6 linked regions of the Oryctolagus cuniculus genome follow. The protein of the gene in region 4 purifies or fractionates together with the protein of the main gene of each other region. This does not show direct contact. Links are inferred from orthologs where the notes say so. Each region holds a gene or a part of one and is shown on either strand. Other genes may lie near its edges. The genes, in order: HLTF, PARP2, XRCC1, RNF146, LIG3 and CHD1L.

Region 1 (3,581 bases), on a different chromosome or scaffold from region 4:
AAACTGATTCTCAAACAATATTTGTGTGTGTATGTGTGTGTGTGCGCGCGCGCAAATTGTTGAAGTCTTTACTTAGCATATGAGTTGATCTTCTGTGTACAAAGTTAACTGAAAATGAATCTTAATGGAGAATAGGACTGGGAAGGGAGAGGGAGGAGGAGGGAGGGTTGAGAAGGTCAGAATGGTGGGAAGAATAACTATATTCCTAAAGTTGTACTTATGAAATTTGTATTCATGAAATAAAAGATTTCTTTGGGGAAAAAAAAAGACTGAAATAACTGCAATACTCTGAAACTGTTCTCCTACCTCTCAATTTCAGCATTGAAAAAGAAATAAAAAGCCAACACCCATCCAAAGAATATAAGCCAACATCCATTAAAAGAATATAACAATCAACTGACAGGACTAAAAGCAGAATTATAACTTTGATGTATATTTCCTTATATAAATGTAAGACAAATACTCAAATATTTGCATATATTATTTTACCTTTGAACTAGATGTCCATTCCATATTGGACTTTTTCTCACTATCACATGCCAGTTCTTCTGGAGGACATTCCAATAAATTATCTCCATGTATATCATTTCTGCATAAAGGGCACTTTGCATGTGGCTATATAAAAACAAAGTATGAGCAACACTTACAAGATGAACAAAAATATCAATTCTATTATTTCTCACAACAAAATTTTATTAAACTTGTTACATTCATTATTTGAGAAAAATTTGCTGAAATCCAGACAGATACAGTGTTCTAATATGTGTGCTAAGTAAGATGGGTAAAGGAAGGAGCAAAAGTATTTACCCTTAACCAAGCACAAGCTTAAAACACTAATTTATACCAATTGCAGGCAAGTACAGAAACCATGAATACAATGCCTTGAATGAAACTAAAATAGATCATGCTATTTGGAGTTATTCTTTAAGAAAAAAGTCCTTGTTAATTACTTACACAGCTATTAGTTTGCAACATGTGTTGTATCCATTTGTACTAAGACCCACTAATAAAATAAGATTACACCTTAAAAACTAGACTCTAACCACCATTACAATAAAAAAGATTATGAAACTAAAATTGATGCTAGAGGTCAATGCAATTCAGAATCATGATAATCCATTTTTCTACATGTATGTTATACATCAATTTAAAAACCATAAAAAAATCTACTCTAGCTCAAGGATTTCAGGATTTTTTCAAAAAATTCTATACAAATTAATCTAGACCTTCCTTATCCAAAACAATAGCAATTAAGCCCTAGAAATGTGACTAAGCCAAATTAAGGTGATATAAGTGTACAATATCACCAAAGTTTGAAGACTTAGCTTAAAAAAAAAAAAAGAGGCAATGTAGTATATCACATGAATACTATTCACATTTCAGATACATTAAATTAAAATGCATTAATGATTAAATTATGTTTTTAATACAACTATGAGGAAATTTTAAATTCCCTGTGTCTCTCACAAATTATCAATATATTGTTAGACAGCAATAATCTAGACAGCAGAACTAGGAAACTGTGAAACAATGCCTCCAAAATAATATCTCTTTGTGTTAAAGAGCTTCACTAATGAGAAGTATATTACCAATTAAAGATTAGAATAATTAGCTACAAAAGTTGTACTATTAAATCCAAGTACAAAACTTCTTATACTCTCTTGAACTTGGGTTTTATTATGCTACAGACAGGTACACCACTACAGAGAACACTGGACCCGTACTGAGCAAAACACTAACCTGCTCATTCTGAATGACTTGGCAAATACAAGGTTTACAAAATACATGTGCACAATGTGTTATCACAGGAACTGTTAAAGAATCCAAGCATATAGCACATTCTTCATCTGAACCTGAGCTCAGAATTAACTTCATCTTCTTTATTAACTTCTTTCGCAGTTCTTCAGGTGTATCATTCCCTAGAGAGAAGGCTGAAAAATTAATTTCAAAGCAAGATTTGTACACGACTTGACAAATTAATCTACTGAAGAGAAAGGAAACTTTTGCTTGCCACTGCATCTTTTTCTGTCCTAGGCAAAAAGCATGATTTAAATTTGAAATTTTGTGAAATATTCAGAAGTATAGAAACCAAATCAATTTACCTCATAGAGAATTACCAATACACTACGATCTACACACACCAGCACAGACTAAAAGGCAATTCCAATGTGATTCTTTCTTTTAAGGGTATCTTAAAAGAAATCTGAAAATCCTGGAAAGACTTCATTATAATTCCATTTCATTGGTAAAAAATTCTTGGATATATTCCCAAATGTCCTATACCAAAAGCAATGTCCATCTGACAGCACAAAATGACCAACCAAATTCAGGCTATGTAAAAAATTTCTGATTCTGATTTAAGTATTTGCAAAAAATATAATGGCATGAACTAATCATATTTTCTTACCTGAGGGACCACTGGAAGACACTGTATTTGTAAGAAGATGAGTATGACAACAAATCTGCCGCAATCTAAGTAAAAGACCCAAGACATCTGCATAGTGTGCAAGGACAGTCCCTTCATTAAAATACCTAGAGATAAAAATGTTAAATATTATATATCCTCTAAACAACATCTCCTCTGAAAATCATTCTAAATTAAAAATGAAAAAACAGAAATTTGCAACAATAAAGCCCAACTTATGCAAAACGGCTATCAACTGCAGTAAAAGAACGATAGGAAAACAGAACTGCAAATCTGGAACAGACATGCATTTCTTCAAAACGGAATGGAAAAATTACCTCTCATGTACAAAAACAGAAACAGGGCACATGCCTGTTGACATGAAATTCTCTGAACAATTTTACACAAAGAGCAGGGAAGGCAAACTGAGTGAAGAAACACATGGATGCCCTGTGTTTTCAGAAACAAGACTAAGGGCAGGAGCTTCTTACCTTACCTGAAAAAAACTCTACTCCCCCCATAGACCCATCTCTGTGAATGGCATTTCCATCCTTCCATTCACATGAAAAACTTTGTGGAGTATCTATGACTCTTCTCTCACACACACCATATCCCACCAATCAGCAAGTTCTGTTGGCTCTGAACAGTCCAAACATTTCTCATCCATTTCATCACTATTACTATGGTAAACACCAACATCAACCCTTTGATTATTGGCAGTGCTCTCCCTACTGATGACCTTATTCCAACAATCTAAATCTGAACACAAAAGCCAGAATGATCCATTTAAAAGGTAAATCATGGAGCTGGCATTGTGGCACAACAGGTTAACCTGCCACCTGTGACACCGGCATCCTGCACAGGCTCCAGTTCAAATTCTGGCTGCTCCACTTCCTACCCAGCTCCCTGCTACTATGCCTGGGGAAGTAGCAGAAGATGGCCCAAGTGCTTGGGCCCCTGCACCCACATGGGGGACCTGGATGAAGCTCCTGGTTCCTGGCTTTGGCCCAGCCCAGCTCCAGCTGCTGAGGAATGAACCAGTGGATGGAAGATCTCTCTTGCTTTCTCTGTTTCTCTCTCTCTCTCTTTCTGCCTTCCAAATAAATACATAAATCTTCTTAAACAAAGTAAATCAAATTATGCCACTCTCCTGGCTAAAACCCTCCAAAGAAAGTAG
Region 2 (3,581 bases), on a different chromosome or scaffold from region 4:
GTTCAAATGAGAAACTGCCCTGTAATGGCATGAGTTACTGATGAATGTGGAAAGAAGTTTATTTTGATAAAAAAAAGACTTTGAAATCCATTCATAATTTTTTCATAATATGCACTTTTCATGAACTTTTTAAAGACCCTTCATATACCCATAGCTTTCAAAATAAACTTAATTTTGAATTCCATTTTCCACTAACTTTTTGAAGTACCCTCATATATTTGCCTTTCTTTCCCTGGCAGGTAGGTTCCATGGAAAGTGACACCTGGAGGCACAAGAAAAACATAGCGCCTCACTTTGAATGTCAGGGCTGAGACCATACTGATCTCGTCTTTTTCCTCTCCAGGCTCACGTGTATAGTGAAGGAAATGAGGTCTATGATGTCATGCTGAATCAGGTATGAGGGAGCCATTCTGTTGACCACCAGAGTTTCTTGATGTTTACTGCTGCTAGTATCTCAGTGCCCAGATCTTTAATCATTTAATTAAGGCCTTTAATTAAGTCCATTATATTAGCCACTACAGGGTAAACTCCTGAGTACTCAGCCCTGGCATTCTGTACCTGCTCTGTGAGAAGCAAATCATTTTGCAAACTCATATCTTTTATTGAACTTGTGAACTCTCTATGTTCTTTTTTTTTTTTTTTTTAATTTATTTGAGAGGTAGGGTTATAGACAGTGAGAGAGAGAGAGAGACAGAGAGAAAGGTCTTCCTTCTGTTGGTTCACTCCCCAAATGGCCTCAACAGCCGGCGCACTGCACCTATCCGAAGCCAGGAGCCAGGTGCTTCCTCCTGGTCTCCCATGCGGGTGCAGGGCCCAAGCACTTGGGCCATCCTCCGCTGCCTTCCCGGGCCACAGCAGAGAGCTGGACTGGAAGAGGAGCAACTGGGACGACTAGAACCTGGCACCCGGGGCTGCAGGCGGAGGATTAACCAAGTGAGCCACAATGCTGGTCCCTCTATTTATATTCTTTTTTACATTTTCTAATGATCTTTTTCTTACTGGCTTTGAGAAATTTCATATAACATGGAGATTTTAACAACCAACTAGTATTCCTTTATTACTACTTTTTCCACTCAACATATCATGAATGGATAGAAAATATATTAAGGCCTCTTTTTGTTCTAATATCCAGTGACTTTATAATGTGAATGGGAGGGAGTTGGCCTTCACCAAGGCTCAGCCTTCCAGTACTAGCTGTTGTACTTGCTTTATTTATTTATTTACTTTTTTTTTTTTTTTTTTTTTTTTGACAGGCAGAGTGGACAGTGAGAGAGAGAGACAGAGAGAAAGGTCTTCCTTTTGCCGTTGGTTCACCCTCCAATGGCCACCGCGGCCAGCACGCTAAGGCCGGCGCATTGCGCTGATCTGAAGCCAGGAGCCAGGTGCTTCTCCTGGTCTCCCATGCGGGTGCAGGGCCCAAGCACTTGGGCCATCCTCCACTGCACTCCCTGGCCACAGCAGAGAGCTGGCCTGGAAGAGGGGCAACCGGGACAGAATCCGGCGCCCCAACTAGGACTAGAACCCGGTGTACTGGTGCTGCTAGGCGGAGGATTAGCCTTGTGAGCCGTGGCACCAGCTACTTATTTTTTTAAAGATTCATTTATTTATTTTAAAAATGGAGGGGGCCACCACTGTGGCATAGTGGACACTGGTTCAAGACCTGGCGCTCCACTTCTAATCCAGCTCTCTGCTACAGCCTGGGAAAGCAGTAGAGGACGGCCCAAATCCTTGGGCCCCTATACCCACGTGGGAAAGTCCGGAGGAAGCTCCTGGCTTCAGATCGCTGCAGCTCAGGCCATTGTGGCCAATTGGATAGTGAACCAGTGGATGGAGACCTCTCTCTCTCTCTCTCTTTGCTTCTCCTTCTCTCTATATATAACTCTGACTTTCAAATAAATAAATATGTCTTAAAGAGGGAGGGAGGAAGGAGTTACAGAGGCAGAAAAAGAGAGAGAGAGGTCTGAAGCCAGGAGCGTGGAGCTTCTTCCAGGTCTCCCACATGGGTACAAAAGTCCAAAGACTTGAGCCATCCTTCACTGCTTTCCCAGGCACATTAGCAGGGAGCTGGATCAGAAGTGAAGCAGCCAGGACTTGAACAAGTGCCCTAATGGATTGCCAGATAGCAGCCAGTGGCTTAACCTGTCATGGTGCATGCCAGCCCCTGCTGCCATGCTTTATTATGGACTCCTCTCTCTCATCCCTTGGAGACTTACAGATACCTCTTTAATGTAGATACTAGTCATACTCATATTCGCTCTGAATGTCTCCAAGTTGAGTCAGATTAGAGATGGGACAAATGTAGCAATGTTTTCTACAAATTCTTTGTTCCTCCCCTCCACTTTCTCACATTGTCCTGCTGTCAGCTCATTGTCAAACTTCTGCAGCAGACAAATCAAAAATGTAAGTAGAATGATCAAAGAGGAAGACATCATCTAAACAAACAAGCAAATAGTTATAGACCTAGGGAGCACCTATAATATTTTCATTTGGGAAATAGAATTAATCACTGGGAATGAATTGAGAATTAGAAAACACAGATGGTGGGGCCGGTGCTGTGGAGTAGTGGGCAAGGCCACTGCGTGCAGTGCTCACCTCCCATATGGGTGCCAGTTGGAGTCCTCACTGCTCCACTTCTAATCCAACTCCCTGCTGACGTGCCTGGGAAAGCAGTGGAACATGGTGCAAGTCCTTGTGCCCCTGCACCAATGTGGGCGGCCTGGAAGAAGCTCCTGGCTCCTGGCTTCCCAGGCCGAGCCATTATAGCCATTTGGGGAGTGAACCAGCAGATGGAAGATAGATAGATCTCTCTCTCTCTCTCTCTCTCTCTCTCTCTCTCTGCTTCTCTGTAATTCTACCTTTCAAATAAATAAATCTTTAAAAAAAAAAAAAAAAAACAGAAGGCCTAGGGAAAAAAATCTATGAAGGGAGCTGAGGCAGAAAAAAAAAACAGGAGGAGATGGTTAATTGGTTGATACTGGATATTCGAGGTTAGGTAGAGGGTTTAATGAAGATTCCAGGTTCCTATTTTAATTCCTAAGAATCCCAAGCTTAATATATAGACATAATTTATTCTTTATGTCTAACTTTTCCCTTGTAAAAATTAGCAAGAAACAGTCTGGTTTGTGTGACTTCCATTTGCAAAACTATCTCCTTTCATGTTTGTTTTTCTCTTGCTCATTGTAGACCAATCTCCAATTCAACAACAACAAGTACTATCTGATTCAGCTATTAGAAGATGATGCCCAGAGGAACTTCAGTGTTTGGATGAGATGGGGCCGAGGTAATGATTTTATTCTAGATTTTGTGAGTTGTCATTCAGAAAGCCAGAAACAACTTAGTGAATGGCCGAGAGTTCCTATGGGTTTAAATTGGTTACATGCAGGCTCTGAAGTCTAGGAGGTGCTTAGAAATCAAATTGAGCTTCTGGAAATTGGGGGATGCTCCCATTAGAAAAACTGAGAGCAGCCCATTGAAGCTGAAAACTTGCAGTAGGACTGCTGGTGCTGCTCCTAGAGGACGACAGTGAGCAGGTAACAAATCAGCATGATCAGTTCCCTTAGCCCTCTCGACCTTCCCTTGTC
Region 3 (3,189 bases), on a different chromosome or scaffold from region 4:
AGCTGCGAGGACTGGGCCCGCTCCCGCTGAACGTGCCCCTGAAACAGAGGGCAGCAGTCCTCCACCAGCTGCCCTGGGCTGCTTCCCGCCCCCTGGCCTTTGCACATGCCGCGGCCCCTGCCTGCTTGCCTGACACAGCTCAGCTCTCACTTGGAACTGGTAGAGCCTTGAAGGGCCCCCCTCCCACCCACCTCCTAAATGAGGTGAGGTGAAACCACACTGGTGATGCCCCCGGCGGCTTCTGGAGGCCCTGGGGCAAAGGGGAGGCCCCTGGAGAGCAGCACACCTCCCGGGCGTCCAGCCGTCCAGGCCTCCAGCCCACGGTCCACGGCGGGAGGACCGGGTGGCAGGACAGGCTCCCTGGGCTGCGGCACCATCAGATTCTCAGCTCCCTGCTCTCCCACACGGGCGGTGGGGCCGGGGAGAACAGGCAGAGCCCTGCCCCCCCAGACGGAGGGGCCATCTCCTCCTGGCCCCACGGGGGAGAGGAGACAGGCGTGGGGGACTCCTGTGTGCCAAGGGGCAGGTGCTGCAAACCAAGTCGTCTTTATTAAGCCCACCTCCCGTGTGCGTGTGCACATGTGCGTGTATGTACGTGTGTGCGCGTGTGCCCCGCACTCTTCAGGCCTGGGGCACCACCCCGTAGAGCTGGTGCGGAAGCAGCCTCTGCTTCTCGTTGCAACTGTAGATCCAGCGGGGGCGGACGAAGGCCAGGGACGGGTTGTCCATCAGGGCCTGCGGGTGGGAGAGGGGGAGGATGGGGTTCCGGAAGGGAGGGCTGCAGGACAATGAGGCCCCCCTTGTCTGCCCCTCTAGGACTCACCTCCTCAAAGCTGGGGTCCCACTCCTGTGCCGTGATCACGAACTGCACGCGGTCGCTCATGTAGTCCTCCAGCTCCCTGGCGGGTGGGGGAGAGGCTGTGGGCGGGGCCGGGAGCCGCGGGCTCCTCCTCCCACCCTCTGCCCCCTGCTGGCGGAGCCCGCGTTCTCCCAGAGGCCGGTGCGGCCGGTCAGTGACAGCGGCCCTTCAGAGCAGAGGACAGGGAAGCACCGCACGCAGGACTGCAGCTGTGGACAGCGCGGGCCCTGCGCTCCACGGCTCGCGCCCCCTGTGGACTACGGCCCTTCCCCCTCCCCAGCTTCTTCCTCCCACCACGACCCTGCGCCCTCCCACCCTCTGGAGACTGACCCGTTGAAGGCGGTGACGTATCGGATGAGCTTGCGCCGCTCGTCCCCGGGGAACTCCCCATACAGGAAGAAGTGTTTGCCCTGGAAGAAGTCTGCGAGAGGCGGAGAAGAGGCAGCGTGAGCCCCCGCCCCCACCAGTGCCACGACACCGGCCAGGAGCCAGAGAACGCTGGGCCCAAACGGGGCGGCAGGCAGTGGTGCCCAGCCCAACAGCGCCCCCCGGAGGCTGCTGGTTTGCTTCTCTGCTTGGAGGGAAGGCGCGATCCCGGGCCCCTGCTGGCGAGCCCAGAACCACGCTGCACCCACCTCTGGGGCTCCCTCCTCCCCAGGCAGCGTCCTCTCGCCCACCCCCGGGTGGCTTCCTTCCTCTCCATTCCCGTGACTTCCCAGGCCACCGACTGATGCTACCTGGGGGCTCTGGAGAATCAGAGTACAGCGCACCCCTCACCCATGAGGAGCCAGCTGCCAAGTTTGCTCAGTGGCCTGGGCCTCCCCTCCACCCAGGAGGCTCTGGCTCCTGCCCCCGCCACACCCGTGGCCACTGGTCCAGGATGATGACTAGTGTTAAAGTGAACAGGCATGCCCACCGAGGTTCCAATGGACAGCGGTGCCCGTGTCCCCCCACCCGACAGGTGCACCTGCGGGGGGTGGGTGAAGCACCAGCCCAGGCGGCCACTCACCTGGGGGACATGTCCAAGGGGTCACCCCTGGCACTGGGCTTGGAGGGGAGGAGGCAGAGGGGGTGGGGACAAAAGGGGATGTCATGGGTAAGCCACAGGGACAGGGAAGAGGCCTGGAGGCGGCCGAGGAGGAAGAGGGAGCCAGCAGTGAAGTGACCCCCGGACTGGCTGGGCCGGGTCAAGGCAAGAACGGACGGCACCGGCCCGCAGCAGGGACGGAGGGAGCCCCACCTGGGAGCTCAGGAACTGGCAGGTCGGGCGGCTCCGGCTCATCCTCGTTGTCCGTGTTCTCGTCAGTGGAGCCCGCGTACGGGTCCTCGCCGTTCTCGCCCTGGTCAGGGGGCCGCCTTTGGTCCTTCTGCTCCGCCACCCTGGGGAAGCCGAGGGGGTGCGGGTGAGCAGGTGGGGCAGATGCCCCGCAGCCCTGGAGCCCGGCCCTGACCCCAGCCCGGCCCTACCTCCTCAGCTCGTCCTCCGTGTCCCCAGAATCCTCGGCCCCATCGTCTTGTCCTGCGAGTGGGAGTCGGTGAGTGCCAGGAGGTGCTGTGTCTTCTGCAAGGCTGGAGCCCTCTCCCCACCTCGCCGCCTGGCATCTGGTGACCCGCCACCCACCCCCCAGACCCCTCTCCCCTTACACACGGGAGTCTGGATCTCCAGCCCTCCTCCCTCGGACCCAGGGGCCCCGGCCCCAGCCCTCCTCCCTCGGACTCTGACCTGACGGCTCCCCCTCAGTGTCTGTGTCATCCTGGGGAGCGGGTGAGGCTGCTTTGGTCTCTTTGGGGGTTGGAGGCCTCTGGGGTGAGCTGGGTCCAGCTGCCTGAGGGGGCCTGGCTTTGGTCTGGGGACGCTGAGGAAGGAGGGGCAGTGTGGGTATGTGGGGGGCTGGGGTGGGGAGTTGGGGCAACCACGTAACTCCCTGTCCCCCTCCCCACTGGCAGGGCCTTGGTCAAACCTTCCGGGGAAGCCTGGGGGCTTCGTCCCCACTGCCGCCGCTGTGAGAGCCACCCTCGTCCTCGCTGCTGGAGCTGGGTCCTGCCATGAGGTACCTGGGGGCGGGATGTGGAGTCCGGAGGGAGGCACGAGGCCGCTGGGGCGGCAGGAGCCCCGCATCCGGCAGGCGCTCGGGGCCTCTTTCCTGGCCTGCCCGCTCCACAGACCCCTGCTGTCCAGCTGCCCATCCAGGCCCCGGGCGTCCTCCCTCGCCTCCCTCCTCGTCCCGTTTTAGAAAGGGAAAACCAGACGGAAATCACTTTCCCTCTGGGAGCCAAAGTCGGCTTCTCCTGAGGACTCCTGCCAGCAAAGACACTTCAAAGACCCACGC
Region 4 (4,207 bases):
TAACCTCATTATATCCATTTCCTAATTAATAATATGAAGAACTGGAGTAGCTGAACTCTATTGTAGCCTCCCACTGAAGTTAAATCCCAGATGGGTGCCTGTTTCTGTAAAATGAAATAATAATAGTAGCTACCTCATGGTTTACTGTCAGGATTAAATGAGGTTATATATGTAAAGCACATTAACTACCAATTGTTAGTTAATATTAGAATTCTCTCTTCAAGCAGAAATCTTAAAGTACATTATCTGTTCATGGGTTGTGTAGGATAGAGGAGTAAAACCGGGTGGCTAAGAAGGTAGAGAATTAAAGTTGGAGGACATTGACTTCATTAGTATTCTATACTAGTTCGTCGAAATGGCATTAAAAGAAAAGTGATTTTTTTCCATGTACCTTTTGAATGCCCCTCACCCATGATTAGGATCCCAAAATAAACTATTTCAGGGGAATAACGGAAAATGTACAGCTTTCTATATGTATCAAGACATGGAAGATTTCCAATCTTGCACCCACTAATCTCAAAAATGCAACATCACTGAAAGACATTGCAGTGGAAGGTTGAAATATATACTCAAGATAAAGGACACGTTTTCCCCTCCTGTTCGTTCGTTTTACCACATATCAAGCTCATTTAGTCAGTTTCGGAAAAACGCAATGTAGGTGCTAAAACGGAGAACACGGCCAGTGTTTTGAAGTTTAAAACCACATGCTCGCATTCATTTTGCCCGTTTAATTTCAGATTCTTGCGAAGATTAATTTCTTCCTCTGGCGTCTTAGCTCGATTCTATTAAGAAGCATTGGTCCAAAACATGGTTATAATCCATTTTTTCCCCTCTGCATAAACTGCCCAGCCATTCAGAAGGTTTTATTTCTTGAGAGAACAAGCGGTACTTTCAGAAGGGGTCTTCAACCCAGAGCTCAGCTAGGCGCCCCAGGGCTTCTCTGGGGTCTTAAATTGGATTTTTGAATAGCACCACCTGCTGGTAGTGCCCGCGTCTTACTTCCCCTACGCAATATCTCTCCCTTGAGGATCTGCACGCTTTCAGGGCTCCTTGCCCTTAATACGAGTAAGGCAAAACCTAAGAGATCAGGAGCATCCAAGCAGCTGGACGGCGGGTTCCCGCAAGTGGAGAGGGCGGGTACCGGCGGCGCGCTCGAGGGCGGGGCCTGGGCCCGCGGCGGGAGGCTCGGGCGCGAGCTCTGCGAGCGCGAGGCGCGACTTCCGGCCCGCGCGGCCCCGCCCCCGCGACGCGCCGGGCGGTCACGTGACGGTCGCGCGCGTCCCCGGCCGCTGCGGGCTCCGAGGCCGAAGAGAAAAGACGGCGAGGTGGCCGGGGCTGTGGCCGGAGAGGAGGGAGTCGAGGCGCCGCCCTCGCGGAGGTCACGGCGAAGGCCCGCTGCTCCGGGATCCAAACTCGGGGGGAAGAGGCACGACTCGCGGTGCCTCCGGCAGGCTCGACGCGCCCCGGTCGGCCTGCTGTCGGGCCCGGAGAGGGGCGGCGGCGGGGTCAGGGCCCGGTACGTAGATGGACGCCCTTGGCCGGCTCGGTAGCTGCTGTGGCCGGGAGGCGGGAGGGGCCCTGCGGCCTCCCTGCCGCCCCCGCTCAGGCTGTTGTCGCAGGCACGAAGACTGTGACGGCCTCTGCATGGCCGCTTGGCCGCAGCCCCTGCGGTGGCGATGCCGGAGCTGGCCTGGGCCGAGGTGCGAGAGGCAGGGCAGCGGCCATTACTGCGCAGCCTCTTCGACCGGGTCCGCGTCGCCGTCTTTGGTGGCCGCCGGGTCCTTCTCCTCTTCCTCGGCCGTGGGGTCAGGCCTCTGCCGAGGGACCTGCTGGCCTCAAGGTGCAGGGACCCAGATGCTTTAGGGGTTACCTGTTCCCCGTGTGGAGTCAGAGACTTTGGGCCTGGGGTCCGATGCAAGCTAGGACATGGAGTGCCCGCGTTTTGTGTGATCCCGAGCGCCTTGGGCTGCTGTTTTTTCTCTCTCTCTCTCCCCACCACTGCTGCTTCTGCTTAGCGTCTGGGTCTTGCCTCATTGAAGGGAGCAGCTGCCCCACCTTGTCCTGGCGAGACTCAGCGCTGCACATTCACGGTTGTCTGGACGGCTGTGGACTCTTGGGGACCGCGAGAGAGCTCCGAGAGCCTCGGAGCCTGCCCGACCTCCCTGCGGCTTCTCGGCGGAGGTGGTTGCTTTGTTCTGGTTGCCGGGTGCGGAGGTCCCTCCCTGCTGTCCAGTTGGTCCGAGAGTGCTGGTCTTTCTTGCCTTCTGGTCGCTATTTTGTTTTCTGAGAGGCTGCAGCATTGCTTTTTGAGGGTGTGGAGAGGGCACCGTCCTTTCCCGCAGGGAGTAACTCCAGGATTAAGTTTATACACACACATGTTGGCAACTAGATTCGCTTTTTTTTTTTTTTTTTTTCATGTTCATCATTTCCGTCCCTGTTTTTATATTTCTCTTGTCCGAGTGCCATTTTAGTGAGCCCTTCTTTCTCAAGTTTGGGACGTCTTGTTTCCTGTTGGTTTATATTGAAACTGTGGAACTGAGGGGAGAAGAAAACCAAGAAAGGATAGAAAACGCTTTGTTCTTCCTGTGATTGACATTTCAGGTGCCAGGGACCCCGCAACTCCCCAACCCCCACCGGACCCCGTACGTGTAGTGTACACTTTTAAGTGGGAAGTGGATGTATAACGTTGGCACTGAAAGCAGTATATAATTACAGATTTTGGAAGACCTTGGACATTTTAGTAAGTGCATCTATATTTAGACTTTTGAATAAGCATGTTAGGACACACACAGAAAATGACCCCCACAGATAGGATTTGTGATGTTGAGTTTGTTGTTTTTTTGACTAGCAGATATTTGTGTTCAGAGTCTGGGTGCTGTGAAAACGCATGAAAATAGTTCAAGTAAACCTCATTTTAAAGAGAAAACTTGAAGAGTGAATAGCACTCTAAAAATAGATTTTGATCATGTTTGTTTTGGCCTTGTGTATCTTAAAGTGGACCATTTTAAGTCCTATTTTTGGTTTATAGTTTAAGTGTCAAATGAGCTAATGTAATGTAAGTTGGGACAAAATGAAAATAATGGCGCTTAAACATTTGAAGATTTTTTTGTGATTTGTCTGTTAAGAGGCTGACAAGGAAACTTTCTCCAAATAGCCAGTCATCAGGCAAGATGAAAAAAAAGGTGGTATTTTTTCTTTAGGAGTTAGGTCAACTGGCAAAATGTTTTTTTTTAGTTTCTGCCAACTTGAGTTGTCAGACGAAAGGAGGCAGATTTTTTTTTTAAAGGATCAAGAATAATTTCTTGACTTAGATATTATTGATTTTTTCCAAAACATTGATCTGGTTGAAGAATATAGTTTTATGTGTTAAGGATATACTGGTATTAAATACCTGACACACTGTCAGTTGAGAATTTGAGTGTGTTTTGTTGTTGTTTGGTTGTTTTTCTCTAGTACTAGTAATAGAAAGTACTGAGCCTTTGGCATTTTCTTGCCTAGTTTGATTGCCTTGTGACTTGAGGAATCTGAATTTTTAAACATGCTGGATTAGTTTGACTCTACAAACCTACTTGTTAAAACTAGGCTACAGCCACCTGTGTTTGCTTATAAATTCTTATGTAGTACTCACGGCCTATATTATCTTTGCGTTAATAAAAATAAAACCTATTGCTAAATGCCTGTTAATTAAAGATTTAAAATTTGGAATTACAGAATAGAGGAATCTGGTAAAAGACATGAGAATCATGACTTGACAAGGTCACACAGATAATTAGCAAGAGTCTTTGTTATTTGCAAAGTGGTTGCTTGCCATGATACTTACATGTGTTAATTAAAGTCAGTTTTTGTTCACATTTTATTTAAATGAAATGCAAAACCTACTTTCTCTAGGGAGGATTTAAAGTTGTAATGCTTATGTGTGAAGATTGTGAAGTCAGTAAATAGATTGCCATACAGTAGTATTTTTAAAAGGAGTGATACATAATAAGAGAAATAATTCTTTAAAATAAATTGTTGGACCTCATTTGTTTCAAATAAGTTTAAATTTTTCCAATTATGACCTTTAGGACTTGATTTTTTTTTTTTTTAATAGAGTTAGTGAGAGAGAGACAGAGAGAAAGGTCTTCCTTCCATTGGTTCACTCCCCAAATGGAAGCCATGGCCTGGCGCGCTGCGCCTATCCAAAGCCAGGAGCCAGGTGCTTCTTCCT
Region 5 (3,581 bases), on a different chromosome or scaffold from region 4:
TGCCTATGAAGCCTTCAAAGCCTCGCGCAACCTGCAGGACGTGGTGGAGCGGGTCCTGCGCAATGAGCAGGAGGTGGAGAAGGAGCCAGGCTGCAAACGGGCTCTGAGCGTCCAGGCCTCTCTGATGACGCCTGTGCAGCCCATGCTGGTGAGGAGCACGCCCCTGCCTCTGCTGCCTACGCCTCTCCAAGCTGCACATCCCTCACAGTGAGGTCTGCCTGGCTGTGAATGTTGAGCTCGTGTGAGTTGACCGGAGAGGTCTGAGGAGAGTGGAGATGTGAGGGAGCATTTCTTGATGGGAGTGTGGAAGCAAAGCAGAAGACAGGCGATCCTGTGGGAGGACCTGAACCCAGTCCCAGCTCTGCCACCACCAAGCTGTGGACTGTTAGATGAGTTGTGTATCCTCCTCAGACTAGTTTTCTTGTGTGAGTGGCATGTGTGATTCTCTGAAGCATCGTCTCAGGTGCTTTATCTTACCTGAAGACACGTGGATATGTAAGTAACCTCTGAGGCTCTGTGTCTTGCTGGGAAGTAGCTCTGAGAGTGGGCAGCAGAGGCTTCCTGTAACGGGATGGCCTGGGGAGAGAGGAAGCTTAAGGGGCGTCTGTTCCTTTCATGAGAAGTCCATGTCGTTTCTGGCAGTGGTTCCCCTGTGCATTGGCACCCACCCTGTCCACTACCCTGTCTGCTGTGAGACTCTGGGTTTCCCAGAGCGTACAATGCTTTTTCTGGAACTGCCTTAACGTTACATTAAAGCTCCAGCATAAGGTTCTGTGTTTGGGAGAGGAAAATGTTCTCTCCCCACTAGGAATGTGAGAATAGCCATCACCAAATTAGTGAGATCTTGCTGCCAAGGCTGCTGGAAGAATTCCTTCCGACTCTCTGTGGCCTGACACTTGAAGCACTAGCATAGGTTGTACAGCTTAGTGCTGTTAACCACACAGGCTTTGGAGTTAGGCCTTGATTCAGATCTTACTGCTGCTATTCACTAGCCATGTAACTGACCTGCAGTTTCTCATCCATAAAACGGAAACCGTGTTTGTCACATAAGGTGTCACAGCAGGGAGGAAATACGAGGAGGGGTGTGATCCCAATGGCAGCTGCTGTTGTTTGAGTACCTGGCACAGGTACGTGAGCACCCCTGCGTCTGAGTGCCCTATCCTGGGGATCCCTAACTGCTGTTCCCCACCAGCCACCTTACCTCTACTTCCCTCTTGTGCTGAGATAACTGATGGCTCTAGTAAAAAGCCAGAGGCAGGCAAGAGTCTAAATTATTGAGAAAAATAGGCCTGTTGCCATGGAATTTTGTTCTACAACGAGTAACATTCACATTTCTTAAAATGCAAGGTCGATGTCAGCTCTGGTGAGGACTTTGTAGTCAGAATCCAACATTGCCCAGCCCCTCGGGTTCCCATCACCTCGTCAGCAGCCTGTCTGATCCTACACTGGGCCATGTGGTCCCAGGATCTGAACAACCCTTTCCTTGCTCTTTGGCTGTCCTTGCTAAGCAGCCCGTTGCTCAAAGGCTCCAGGCTTTGCTTTCCCTACCCTAAGGCTGAGGCCTGCAAGTCCATCGAGTACGCAATGAAGAAGTGTCCCAACGGCATGTTCTCCGAGATCAAGTACGATGGCGAGCGAGTCCAGGTGCATAAGAATGGCGACCACTTCAGCTACTTCAGCCGCAGTCTCAAACCCGTCCTGCCTCACAAGGTATGAGTCTCTCCCTTCTCGCCAGGACTCTGTCCCACCTGCCTTTGAGAATCTCAGGGCCAGAGTTCCATAGGCATTCCAGCTCTGGGACACGTTAGGGTTTGTTTATTGAGTGAGTGAATTCCTCTTTGGACTCTTCCAATAACAAAGAGCTACTCAGTATGGAGAGCCACAGCCCAACCTTGGCTTTGTCAGGAGAGCTCACTGGGACAGGGATCTTGCCCTCAGTGCTGCTGGGACAGGGAGCTCAGCTGGTGAGTCGCTGTGCACGTCTTCTGCCCTTCCATGACCTGTGTGCTGTTCCTGGGCTAGATGAGGATTGTGTCCGAGGAGCTGTTGGACTGGCATTCGTTAATTTGCTCAGCAAATATTTATCCAATGTTCTAGCACTGTTGTAGCTAGTGGACAGGTAGCACTGAAGGAAATGGACAAGAGTTCCAGCCCTCAGGAAGCATGTGTTCTGACAGAAGCACGTAACCATGGGGACATCTACAGACACCACCGGCTGCCACAGAGCTTGAGCAGCCCACTGCGCAGTCCTTCCCAGACCGGCTTAGGAGTGGGGGGATTCCTGACTTTGCTGCCTCCTTCTTGCCCAGCTCCAACTCGGGTTTTCAAACCGCTGGCCTTTGGCAGGATGTGTTGTGTGGGCAGGTGCTTACTTCAGCCTTAATTTGTGCTGGAGCGCTAGGAACAAAGCAGGACTTCCAGAGGGAGCCGAGCAGTGACCTCACGTGGAACATGAGTTCAGGTTCAGTTGTCTGTGCAGCGCCGCAGCCGCTCGGGAGCTGCTCTGGAGAGGCTGGTGTTAAACGGGTACTTCCTGTGACGCAGGAAGATGTCTGACTCCCACTTTCCCTTTAGCAAGGTTCACATCCTCGCCTAGGTTTTTGGTTTTTAAAGGGCTGGGCTGGGGACTGAAGGGAGCGGGGTGGAAGGGCAGGCCTTTGCTGATCCTGTTCAAGCCTCCTGGTGGTGACGGCCTGTTTGCTGTGGCCAGGTTTGGACTTGGGACCGGACCCCTTGCTGGTCTCACTTGGGAGGGACTATCTGGCTTACAGTGGGACCTCTCCTATCTGATGCTGTCATGAATGAGGACTGTGCCACCATCAAGAGAAGTCCAGTTCCAGATATTCTTTTTCATTCTAAAGACCCTGCTCTCCTTTTGTTGTCCTTTGTCTTTAACCAGTCTGTTCTCCCTGTCCCATTCCTCATCCTGAGGTCTGTCCTCTACAAGGAGCACTGATCTCTGCCTGCTCCTGCCTTCCTCCCTCCTCCTCCTCAGCTTCTTCCATTTTTCTCCAAAACCCTTCCTGTTCTGCATCCCACAGAGGATGACTCCATGTTAGCTGAGCTTCTCCCAGGTCTGGACAGAGTGACCGAGATGACCTCTCTCGCTCTTGTCCTGTGGCTGGGCTTCCATCCCTTGTTCTGTGTTCCTTCTGGGGCTTGGCTGCAGGTCCCTGTCACCGTTCACCCCTCACCAGGGCTGCCTTCCTGCTTCCAGGTGGCTCACTTTAAGGACTACATCCCTCAGGCTTTCCCTGGGGGCCACAGCATGATCTTGGACTCTGAGGTGCTCCTGATTGACAACAACACAGGAAAACCACTGCCTTTTGGGACTCTGGGAGTGCACAAGGTATTGGTTGGGGCCGTATGTGTGAGAACAAAGTGTGCATGTGTGCGTGCTGTCATTCTGCAAAGAGAATATGTCACTTAGGGTAGAGTTTAGTCTTTGCTTCTGAACTATTTCTGAATTTAACCTTGAGCTTAGATTTTTTTTCTCTCATAAAGGAACCAACTTATAACTGGGCTGGTTTCCATTTAGCACCTGGTAGCCCAGGAATTCAGCACACATCAGAAGGGGACTG
Region 6 (3,581 bases), on a different chromosome or scaffold from region 4:
TTTGTTTTAGAATGATGGGCTCAGAATTAGGCTTTGGGCCGGCGCCACGGCTCACTAGGCTAATCCTCCGCTTTGCGGCGCTGGCACACCAGGTTCTAGTCCCGGTCGGGGCGCCGGATTCTGTCCCGGTTGCCCCTCTTCCAGGCCAGCTCTCTGCTGTGGCCCAGGAGTGCAGTGGAGGATAGCCCAAGTACTTGGGCCCTGCACCCCATGGGAGACCAGGAGAAGCACCTGGCTCCTGCCATCGGATCAGCGTGGTGCGCCGGCCGCAGCACACCGGCCACAGCGGCCATTGGAGGGTGAACCAACGGCAAAGGAAGACCTTTCTCTCTCTCTCTCTCTCTCACTGTCCACTCTGCCTGTCAAAATAAATTAAAAAAAAAAAAAAAAAAGAATTAGGCTTTGGTCCACTGATTGGAAGAGTCGCTAAGGAAGTGATGTGAAAAAGATTCAACACAAGGGAATTTCAAAAAGTTCATGGACAGGTGGAATTAAGACAGTTGATGGGGTTAAGCAGCTGCCTGGAATGCCCACAGCCCCTATTAGGGTGCCCACTGAGTTCTGGCTACTGTGTTTCCAAACCAACTCCCTGCTAATGCATGCTGAGAGGCAGTGGATAAGAGCTCAAGTGCTTGGCCCCCTGCCACATACATGCGAGACCCAGATGGAGTTCTTCAGCCTGGCCCAGCTCTGGCAGATAATAGATCTTTTTTTACCTCTCTGTTGCACTGCCTTCCAAGTAAATGCAAGTTTATTTTGCTACATAATAAGACTTTTGTATGTATAAATTTAAAATTGTTTTTTGAACCCAAATACTTAACTTCATTTTCCATGAACTTTTTGAAGCTACCTAGTACATTACAAAATGGCAATTGTTCCATTACTTCTCCCCTACACGTATCTTTTAATCTGCAGGCATCCAGGAAGGTTTCGGTGTATACATTAGATACAGACAACTTGGAAAGTGTTGGCTTGTGGCTCCCTAAAGAAGAGTAGAAGGAAGAAAGTGGCAGGAGAGGGTACGGCCTTGGATGACAGAACAGCACCAGAAAATGCACCAGATTATCCCCCTTGAGCTGAGAAAACATACCATTAGATAACACACAAAAGGATACATGTAAGTTGGGATGCCTCGTGCTGCCAAGTGTTTCCGAATAAGTCGCTCAGTACCATACCAGTTAAAATCTTTTGTGGCATGTCCAATACGTGGCAGATGAACACTTGCTATTAAAAAAAAAAAAAAGAGATCATGACATCTTCACTCATCAAAAGTTCATTGATGGTTACAAAATACACACAGGAGAAAATAACTGAAAGTTCCACTCAAAGAATACAATCACAATGCCAAAAATATCTGGGGAGGGACTGTAATAGGGGAAAAAATGAGTAATTCTATTGAGCACAAGGAGCTGGAGGCTCTGCGAATAAGGAGATGGAAGATGATTGATGGTGGAGTCACAATTAAAATAAGCAACGAGTATCTAACAAGCTAATCAATTCCATAAACATTGAAACACTTGGTTTAGAAGCTAAACTCAACTCCTTTGGCAGACAGTGTATGTTACTGGGGACTACGTCTCTCCAAGGGCAGAGACAATAAACAGCACATGATCAAGTTACTTCATCTGCCCTGCTCTGCTTCCTCATCTGTCAAATCACGATAAAAATACCCAGCAGATGGCGATGGTCCGCAGAGATAATGGGTATAAAAATGACTCGCAAAGGAAAAGCTGTAAAACAAAAGCTGAGGGGTTTCTTACTCCCGTGGTTTACCCTCACCATGCATGCTGAATGGGGTCTTAAGACTTCTCACCTCCCTTCCAAACTTAAGTCACAGTTCATTGACACCTGAGCAAGGTGTTAAAAGTTTACCTTTCTTTTTCTTTGCTGCTAAAAATATCTTCTTCAGGCCCTCTTCCAGGGCTGCCATCTTAATGCCAGAAAGGACATTGGAGCGATCACGGTGCTGAGCCACGACCAAGGCCAACTAGGAAGAACAACCATTAAAGGAGTGCCATGAGACAGCTATGTGGCCACCTGAGGGACCTGCCCATGGAGGGGACACAGCCCTTTATGAATCCAGCTCTTGATGTTCTGCCTCCTCTACCCTACTAAATGTCTGCCCTCATGCCCCATCATTTCCATTCTGATTTTCTGGTAACTTTATGTAGGCCTTTCTTCCTTTTTAAAATGACATTAAGGGGCTGGCGCTGTGGAGCAGCAGGTAAAGCCACCGCCTGCAGTGCCAGCATCCCATATGGGTGCCACTTTGAGTCCCGGCTGCTCTACTTCTTTTTTTTTTGACAGGCAGAGTGGACAGTGAGAGAGAGAGACAGAGAGAAAGGTCTTCCTTTGCCGTTGGTTCACCCTCCAATGGCCGCCGTGGCCGGCGTGCTGCAGCCGGCGCACCGCGCTGATCCGATGGCAGGAGCCAGGAGCCAGGTGCTTTTCCTGGTCTCCCATGGGGTGCAGGGCCCAAGCACCTGGGCCATCCTCCACTGCACTCCCTGGCCACAGCAGAGAGCTGGCCTGGAAGAGGGGCAACTGGGACAGAATCCGGCGCCCCAACCGGGACTAGAACCCGGTGTGCCGGCGCTGCTAGGCGGAGGATTAGCCTATTGAGCTGTGGCGCCGGCCCGGCTGCTCTACTTCTAATCTTGCTCTCTGCTATGGCCTAGGAAAGCAGTAGAAGATGGCCCAAGTCCTTGGGCCTCTGCACGCACGTGGGAGGCCCGGAAGAAGTTCCCGACTTTGGATTAGCATAGCTCCAGCTGTTGCAGCCAATTGGGGAGTGACCAGTGGATGGAAGACCTCTCTGCCTCTCCTTCTCTGTGCAACTTTTTCAAATAAATAAAACGATATTAAAACCAGAGTCCAAAGCATGTACTTCTTCCCCCTTTAACTAAAAAAATTATGTTTATATATGTATAGAAATATGCATAACTATTTCCTCAAACATTTATCATTTCTATGGTACAAACATTCAAATCCTTCCAGTTTTTGAGAGAAACACAGTCCATTATCTACTGCTGCTCTACTGTGCAACAGAAAATCAGAACTTCTTATCCATATCTAACTTTATAATACAGGACCATCAGTCACACTCTCCCCAGCCCTGGCAACCCCCGTTACACTGTCAACATCTACAATAAACTTTTCTAGCCACCACATGAGTGAGATTGTGCAGTTCTCGTCTTTCTGTGCTGGCTTATTTCACTGAATGTGATGACCTCTAGGAGTTGCATACGTGTTGCTGCAAATGACAAGATTCCATGCTCCGTTATGACTGAGTGGCACTCCATTATACAAATGTACCACATGTTCCTCACCCACACATCAGCTGACGGACAGCTGGGTTGGTGCCATCTCTTGGCTATTGTGACTAGTGCTACCATAAACACAGGAGTGCAGATGTCTCTTTGGCTGATCTCCTCTCTCTTGGATATATACCCGCGAGGAGGACTGCTGGATCATATGGTAATTCTATTTTTAATTTTCCAGGAACCTCCATAGTGAAAAACATTTACTTTGTAAATGCTCTCAAGGGTAAAGAATTTTTCAGAATCTTAGGAATTAACAGG

The links.
Region 1: the proteins of RNF146 (region 4) and HLTF purify together in Homo sapiens (affinity purification with mass spectrometry; 4 studies listed by BioGRID and IntAct, with this or other methods). This does not show direct contact. The link is inferred for Oryctolagus cuniculus from reciprocal best matches to the Homo sapiens genes RNF146 and HLTF.
Region 2: the proteins of RNF146 (region 4) and PARP2 purify together in Homo sapiens (affinity purification with mass spectrometry; 4 studies listed by BioGRID and IntAct, counting the BioPlex papers as one, with this or other methods). This does not show direct contact. The link is inferred for Oryctolagus cuniculus from reciprocal best matches to the Homo sapiens genes RNF146 and PARP2.
Region 3: the proteins of RNF146 (region 4) and XRCC1 purify together in Homo sapiens (co-immunoprecipitation; 3 studies listed by BioGRID and IntAct, with this or other methods). This does not show direct contact. The link is inferred for Oryctolagus cuniculus from reciprocal best matches to the Homo sapiens genes RNF146 and XRCC1.
Region 5: the proteins of RNF146 (region 4) and LIG3 purify together in Homo sapiens (co-immunoprecipitation; 3 studies listed by BioGRID and IntAct, counting the BioPlex papers as one, with this or other methods). This does not show direct contact. The link is inferred for Oryctolagus cuniculus from reciprocal best matches to the Homo sapiens genes RNF146 and LIG3.
Region 6: the proteins of RNF146 (region 4) and CHD1L purify together in Homo sapiens (co-immunoprecipitation; 3 studies listed by BioGRID and IntAct, counting the BioPlex papers as one, with this or other methods). This does not show direct contact. The link is inferred for Oryctolagus cuniculus from reciprocal best matches to the Homo sapiens genes RNF146 and CHD1L.

The regions. Positions count from the first base shown.
Region 1 is NC_091435.1:132,424,225-132,427,805, reverse strand, and holds part of HLTF (helicase-like transcription factor), read right to left. Parts: intron 2,533-3,581; coding exon 2,408-2,532; intron 1,932-2,407; coding exon 1,741-1,931; intron 616-1,740; coding exon 490-615; intron 1-489. UniProt on the Homo sapiens protein: Has both helicase and E3 ubiquitin ligase activities. Possesses intrinsic ATP-dependent nucleosome-remodeling activity; This activity may be required for transcriptional activation or repression of specific target promoters.
Region 2 is NC_091443.1:54,400,920-54,404,500, reverse strand, and holds part of PARP2 (poly [ADP-ribose] polymerase 2), read left to right. Parts: intron 1-343; coding exon 344-394; intron 395-3,183; coding exon 3,184-3,280; intron 3,281-3,581. UniProt on the Homo sapiens protein: Poly-ADP-ribosyltransferase that mediates poly-ADP-ribosylation of proteins and plays a key role in DNA repair.
Region 3 is NC_091449.1:12,350,139-12,353,327, reverse strand, and holds the end of XRCC1 (DNA repair protein XRCC1), read right to left. Parts: intron 2,915-3,189; coding exon 2,821-2,914; intron 2,716-2,820; coding exon 2,583-2,715; intron 2,379-2,582; coding exon 2,327-2,378; intron 2,240-2,326; coding exon 2,100-2,239; intron 1,281-2,099; coding exon 1,190-1,280; intron 900-1,189; coding exon 824-899; intron 736-823; coding exon 622-735; 3' UTR 531-621; downstream 1-530. UniProt on the Homo sapiens protein: Scaffold protein involved in DNA single-strand break repair by mediating the assembly of DNA break repair protein complexes. Negatively regulates ADP-ribosyltransferase activity of PARP1 during base-excision repair in order to prevent excessive PARP1 activity.
Region 4 is NC_091436.1:42,374,748-42,378,954, reverse strand, and holds the start of RNF146 (E3 ubiquitin-protein ligase RNF146), read left to right. Parts: upstream 1-1,376; 5' UTR 1,377-1,516; intron 1,517-2,601; exon of another isoform or gene 2,602-2,740; intron 2,741-4,207. UniProt on the Homo sapiens protein: E3 ubiquitin-protein ligase that specifically binds poly-ADP-ribosylated (PARsylated) proteins and mediates their ubiquitination and subsequent degradation. May regulate many important biological processes, such as cell survival and DNA damage response.
Region 5 is NC_091448.1:39,284,545-39,288,125, reverse strand, and holds part of LIG3 (DNA ligase 3), read left to right. Parts: coding exon 1-148; intron 149-1,554; coding exon 1,555-1,710; intron 1,711-3,217; coding exon 3,218-3,349; intron 3,350-3,581. UniProt on the Homo sapiens protein: Isoform 3 functions as a heterodimer with DNA-repair protein XRCC1 in the nucleus and can correct defective DNA strand-break repair and sister chromatid exchange following treatment with ionizing radiation and alkylating agents.
Region 6 is NC_091438.1:49,981,823-49,985,403, forward strand, and holds part of CHD1L (chromodomain-helicase-DNA-binding protein 1-like), read right to left. Parts: intron 1,988-3,581; coding exon 1,873-1,987; intron 1,225-1,872; coding exon 1,116-1,224; intron 1-1,115. UniProt on the Homo sapiens protein: ATP-dependent chromatin remodeler that mediates chromatin-remodeling following DNA damage.